Caenorhabditis elegans: one gene and its partner. The protein of the gene in region 1 interacts with the protein of each later gene in a biochemical or structural test. Each region holds a gene or a part of one and is shown on either strand. Other genes may lie near its edges.

The links. Proteins that work in one complex are often made in the same cells at the same time.
Region 2: the proteins of mdl-1 (region 1) and mxl-1 interact in far-western blotting, tested with the Caenorhabditis elegans proteins (one study listed by BioGRID).

What each region holds. Positions count from the first base shown.
Region 1 is NC_003284.9:6,740,771-6,744,449, forward strand, and holds mdl-1 (Mad-like protein 1), read left to right. Parts: upstream 1-1,580; 5' UTR 1,581-1,715; coding exon 1,716-1,869; intron 1,870-1,918; coding exon 1,919-2,199; intron 2,200-2,488; coding exon 2,489-2,899; 3' UTR 2,900-3,129; downstream 3,130-3,679. UniProt on the Caenorhabditis elegans protein: Transcriptional regulator which binds to the E box motif 5'-CACGTG-3', when in a heterodimeric complex with mxl-1.
Region 2 is NC_003283.11:11,243,253-11,246,461, forward strand, and holds mxl-1 (Max-like protein 1), read left to right. Parts: upstream 1-1,586; coding exon 1,587-1,904; intron 1,905-2,534; coding exon 2,535-2,591; 3' UTR 2,592-2,674; downstream 2,675-3,209. Other genes in the region: pgap-1 (GPI inositol-deacylase), read left to right, coding at 12-208, 256-645, 699-1,121. UniProt on the Caenorhabditis elegans protein: Transcriptional regulator which binds to the E box motif 5'-CACGTG-3', when in a heterodimeric complex with mdl-1.

The DNA.
Region 1 (3,679 bases):
CACGCATATAGACACACTCAACCAATACACACATACACGCGCGCCAGTCGAAGCGGTCAAAAGATCGAATTCTCAGAGCACGACGGAGGCAAGCTTTCGGGAGCCTTTTTCGATTAAAGGGGAAGTTGGAAGTATATGTGAATGCAAGTTGCGTGCTGCTCCAGTATTTTCAAACTTTGGCACGTACTCGGCTGTGTGACGAGGGCTTCCCCAAGAAATTATGGCTCTTCTTGAACCCTGCTCAATAACGGAGGTATCAAAAGATCTAGGAATGGGGCAAAGTATTCTGGCAAAGGAGTGTTCCAGAAAAAACACGTGGTACACAAAACAATATAAACAAAACATTTCCTCTTATTTTCGCCCGACAACAATTTCTCGTGATCAATGTATTTTCTCTCGTACTCATCGATCAGGAAAATCGCAACAAGTACCGTGTGTATGAGAGAGTGTGACACAGAATTGCCAAGCTCCTGCACGTGAGGCTTCAAAATCACGGCGGGTACATAGTTTTGTTACGGGACCCTTTGCCACTTTCACGTGAACTATTTTTGCGTTTTTGCAACTGGAGACATCGATGCAGGAAGTCCGGATAGCGAAAAGATCATAGTATTTCGTAAGCGTCAGTAATGTGAAGTGACTCAATGTTGGGGAATTCCACATGTTGAACCGCAAAGGACGTTTCGCAAGAATAAGAACTTGAATTAGTATTACAACTTCATGCTCCAGTTAGCAATATCGCAATGATTTTAACATCATTTTCTAGAAAAAAAACATAACAATCTCAATGTTCTAATATTTTCGCAAAATATGATTTCAGTACATGAGTTTGAAAACAATTTGTTCACAACATCTTCTGTGACTTCAGCCATCATATCGTCATCTACTTGACAAGCACGACAATACAACTTTCACAAAATTGAAGACACGTGATGAATTGTAACCGGCGAATATTGTCGGATTGCAACCGTCACATCAAAATCACAAGACCTAATGACATGTTCGGAAATACCTATCCAATGCATTGCATGTGAGGAAATTCACGTGGGTATTCCCCGATTCCGGCGGCAGTACGCTAGCGACTCGCAAATTACTTTAGACGGTAGCGGCAGCGGACATACCGCGACCCCGTTCGGTATTAATCGCATCTCCGATCATATATTTGCTGCTCTTTGTACCTCTCTCCATTTTTGCAAAACAAGACGGAAATAAAACCGCGCGCAAACAGAATCGCCGATCTTGCGATTTTGCTGTCTGATCGAGAAGAAAATTCCATATTAGGCTACCACCGCGTGTGTCCCGCGCGGACGCAAAGCGGTTGGGGGCCAAGGTGACTGTGTGAAGCGAAGAGGGGCGAAAACGAGGTCTTGCGCTGTTTGCGTGCGCAGCCCAAAGCAATGTGGTTTACCCCCGACGCAATCGGAGACCTATCTTGCCACAGCAAGTTCATGCGAGGCGCACGTGCATACACACACACTACCTCTCGCCGTCTGCCGCCTCTTCGGTGCTTTCCTAGTTCGTTCTCTGATGTCGTGTCCCGCCCTGCATATCGTCTCTCCCAGGGCCCTCCCCTACGTCGGGTTGGTTGACGCTCCCCACCCCTCGTTCCTCCTCCTACTTCTCCTGCGCCTCAGTCTGGACGCAAAACGACCCGCCAGAAAGCATCCCATTTTTTGTCGTACCCTCTAACACGCCCCAGTTGTTATTCCTTGTTTGCAATGGAACAGCAACTCAACCTTGGACATCTTCTCACCGCCGCACGTCTTTTAGACATTGGCGCTCTTGACATTTCTTCCCTAGATCTGGGAGCACTTACCTCCACATCTTCCTCTCCAGGATCTTCCTCACCAGCTATGTTCGATCTTTCAAATGGTAAAGACATGACATTTCGTAATAGTCTTAGTAACTGTTTTTATTTCAGAGTCCGAACTCCGATCACTTTTCTGTGGAAAACTAAAAGTTGACAAGAAACAGTCATCGTGTGCATCCAATGCCTCTACATCATCTCAACCCTACTGCTCCTCCCCACCAGCTAGAAAATCTTCGAAGCACAGCCGGACGGCACACAACGAGCTTGAGAAAACCCGCCGAGCTAACCTCCGAGGATGCCTCGAAACTCTCAAAATGTTGGTCCCATGTGTCAGCGATGCCACCAGAAATACGACGCTTGCACTGTTAACACGAGCCCGAGATCACATCATTGTAAGTTTCATCCACGTGCGTCTAGCGTGTTATCATTGTCGTGTGACAATACCATCCTTTCTCTCATTTCTCTCACTATTTACCACCTGGTCTCGTGACTCTAGCCAGTCCTTGTTTCGTTTCATGAAGATGATGCAAAGTGCCTTTCTTTTCTGTCCCGTTTTCCAATTAGTCCCACTACTCCCACAACTTCCGAAAAAAAAGAAAGAGAGAGGATGAGAAGTAACTTCAACAATAATTGTATAGTTATTTCCAATTGGGTTCAATTATTAATTAATTTTTTTTGCAGGAATTGCAAGACAGCAATGCAGCTCAAATGAAGAAGCTTAACGATTTAAGAGACGAACAGGATGAACTTGTTGCAGAACTTGCCCAACTTCAAGCCGACGAAGAAGTTGCTCAAGCAACTAGCCAAGCTTGCCAAACGCTTTCACAAAGCAGACCCGAATCTCGAGCATCTTCTTTCACCTCCACATCTTCTCGCGATTCACCCTGCTACCTGGAGTACTCACCATCAAGCAAACCAATGGATTCACATAAGCCAACAATTATCGACCTTTACGCTGAAGGCCTTATCCCAAGGGGTCCAATCACTTTTCCAAGACCTCTGGTCTACCCTCATAATGTTTTTGATCTCATGAATCTTCCACCTACCCCATTTGACGTGTCGCAGTTCTTGCCAATCAACCTCCAAGTTTAATGATCTATCCACTTTTGACTGTTATTTCTCTGAAGAACATTTCTTCTCCTGAAACCGATTCAATAAGTTACCCCCGTTTGCGTGTCATTGTTTCCATTTTTGCCTGAAATTCTCATCTGCTCTCCTTCCGCCAATTCTCATTCTCAACACTCTCACAATCCATTCGCCTTGCACTCATCAGCCAATTTAATTATTACCTAATATAGAAGTAATAAACATTTTTGCATTGCAACTATCATATGGTTATCTTCATCTTCAGTCTAGATTATATTTATAAAGATAGCACACCTTCCGTATCTTTCTCCGTCAGATGATCGCATCAGTTGGAAAAAGAAAAGGGTGAACCCAACCGCAGCCACATGTTGATCACGTGTCGCCGATCAGTGAAAAAGAATCGTCGGGCGTGTGGATCGTGTTGTAAATAGCCTCGCTCTCTTTACCCACACAGTCTCACACATTATTTTGATAGTCGTCAATCGTACTCATTCTTCTTCCAATGTGACCATCTTCTCGTACGAAATCAAATCTTCTTTGTGTTTCTACCGTCATTGCATTCAGAAGTACATTGAATAGTCATTCAAACATCTGCTACTGCTCCTTCCACCTTTTTCTCATCTTTTGTTGGCATCGAGTATCCAAATTGCGAAGAAAAATGAATCACCATACGTGGAAGTATTCAAAAGTATGCTAGAATGTAGTGTAGTGTTTTTTGAAACGTTTCCAAACTGCCTTTCTCAAAGAAGAAAAAAGTGAAAAGGTTAGCGTTGCACTCAATTGATC
Region 2 (3,209 bases), on another chromosome or scaffold:
TTATTTTGTAGTGAACTCTATGACCACAGTTCGTTATGATGAATCTATGATGTATTTCAAAAACTCGTCGGATGGTGCAGTGGAAACGTGGATTTATCGAGCATTGGAAAAAGAAGAAGTTCGTTTAGTTCTCGATGTGACAGCTCCCTGTAGTATTGATATTCAAATGAGCCCTCCAATGACAGTGCAGTTATGGCGTTTTTATGAGGTGAGTGTCTCGATTTATGCTTTTCAGAAATTTATAGTTTCTTGCAGATCGTGTTCTCTCATTTACATGAAGTAGGCGGAACCATGATTGTGATTAGCGTATTCTTCGCTATTTTGGTTCGTGAGACACTGTTCTACAGTACGACGGCTGTTTTGTTGACCAACCTTGTTGCCTTATTTTTTGTGATTCACGGAAGTACAGACTACACGGACACCACTACACTCCCCATGGCTTTGGGATATTTCATGGCACTGGGTTGGAGAGCGATATGCTTTGTCGTTGACTGGCTTATTGTGTCAAGAATTGGATTTGTCAAAACAGGACATTTGGCGCTCCGCGATGACAAGTTAATGAATGGCCTGTACCTGGTTGGATCAGCAATCACAATCATGGCAAGAAATGAGGGATCAATTGTTTTGATTATTCTCCTCGCATATGTTAGTAACCTGGAAAAGTAATACAACTTTTTTAATATTGTTTTTTCTTTCAGCGTCATCATCCACGGGCAGTTCTTCTGATTCTCCCGACATTGATCCCATATATTCTCAAACTGGTCGGCTTCCCGTGGTTCTCGACGGATTCTCTTATCGTGTACCAACTGCAATATCAACCTGCATTTTACGCCGGCGGACTCTATCTCTTCGGTCTTGTTTCAAATCTCGGAAATCGACAGATTACTTTGCGATTACTCGTTTACGGACTTGTGCCAGCATTCCTCTATTTAATCACATCGCCTCTCGAACTATTTTCCGGATTCACCCTCATCATATTCAGCACAGCTCGCTTCGTTACATTCCCATCACGTAAATCTGTCACTCCTCCTGTTCCCGAGCAAGAAAGAGTTCAAGTGGAACAACCACGTCCAATTCAAAACAACAGACAACGCTATAACCTACGAAATAGGAGAAGATAATTTTGTGCCTATACTTTACACCAGTGCTTTTTATACATTTCTACGCCGGTTTTGAGGTTAATTACATGTATAGATAAGATTCTTCCAAACGTGTGGCCAATTGTTTGTCTAAGTTTCCCTTTCCCACCATTCTATTTTCTCATATTCAATTTTTTTATTTCTCTAGTCTTCACTTTTACTACATACTCGTGAATCTTCAAATTTCTTATCCCAGTGTTAAGAAGTTTTATTCGTATTTTTTGGTTTGATCTATTGTTACATGGTCTGTTTTCATATCAATCTTCGATTTAAGTTTTATGTATATATTACCTACATATTATTTATTAGATCTCTGTGATAATGAATATGCTATTAAAACACAATTTACGTGTAAAGTTATTTTACATGGTTCTCATGAGCCTTTTTCTATATCTCAAATTAAATATTATTTACATGTTCACTTCCCTAATGGAAAATAAACCTCAGATGTCTGACATGAGTGACCTCGAAGATGACCAGACAGGTCACTGTGGTTCCGGAGAACACAGCGGGCCGTTTGATCCGAAGCGGCATGCTCGAGAACAGCACAACGCTCTTGAACGACGAAGACGTGATAATATCAAGGATATGTACACAAGTCTGAGAGAAGTAGTCCCTGATGCCAACGGGGAAAGGGTTCAAGCATCGAGAGCTGTCATTCTGAAAAAAGCAATTGAGTCGATCGAAAAAGGCCAATCCGATAGTGCAACGTTGTCAGTTGATGTTGCCGAACAAGAATCAAAAAATGCAAAACTCAGAGAAGAGGTTAGTTAATATTTCTTATTTATGCAATATTGGGGTAACAAAAAATTCTGATAATGCGTATTGCGCAACGTATTTGCCGCGCAAAATATCTCGTAGCGAAAACTACCGTGTTCTTTATATTAATACTGTAGAGCTTAAGTCGATTTACGCGCTCAGTTTTCGAAATGAGTTTATTTTCGAATAGTGACAGCGATACTCCATTTTCCTTTTTGTATTATTTTCTCACTTTTTGATTAATGTTTATATTTTCTCGATAAAAAACTGATTTCAATTTATTCCGAACATCGAGTCCGTAAATCGACACGAGCGCCACAGTAGTCATTTAAAGAGTTACTGTAGTTTTCGCAACGAAATATTTTGCGCGTTAAATATATTGCGCAATAGCATTCCCAGGATATTGCGTTCCTGTAATATAGTTATGTTGAAGTTGATTGAGAATAATTTTTAGAAACTCCCTCCCTCATGCTCATACTTCTGTTGAAACATTTAGTCAATCGCTCTTAGAATCCCTAATAATTCAGATCTACAATCCTGTTTTAATCATGTTTTAAATCATGTTACAGCTCTCATTATTATCGTTGATTGAAATCACGCGGGCTAGCCAACTAATCTCATCAATTTCATTTTCAGATAGCTCGCCTGAAAGCCAAGAAAGATCCGTCATCGTCGCAGTCGATAATTCAATAATAACTACCGTGTATGCATGCTCAATAATGTAATGTAGTACTAACCATTCCAAAATTGCCATAGTACAATAAATGTTTGCATTTTATCCTGACTTTGCACATTATTTGAAAGACATTCTTTAATTTGAAATTTTCTGATTTTTCACGGGATGTTCATTACTGTGCAACTATCTTGATCATAGTCATCAACTTAATCCAACACATTTCAAATGAACTTGGCAATGCTCGTGTGAACATAAAGAGACTGGAAAACAAGTATCGTAGGACAGAGAATACATATGTAAAAATTGTATCTTATAATGTATAATCACTTCTTATCATTCCTGTAATATTAAAGGAACACTAAATTCGTAGAATGCGTATTGTGCAACATATTTGACGAACAAAATATCTCGTATTGAAAACTACAGTAACTTTACAACGATTACTGTGGTACTGGTGTCGATTTACGAGAACTCGATTTTCGAAACGAATTTCTATTCGAATTATTGTGACAGCAGAATTGTGACAGCATTGTTCAATTTTCTTTTTTTTCGTCACGTTTTGTTTTTTTGTTCTCTTATTATTTTACCGATTCACAATTGAGTTCCGTAAACCGACACCGGTGCCACAGTCGTCA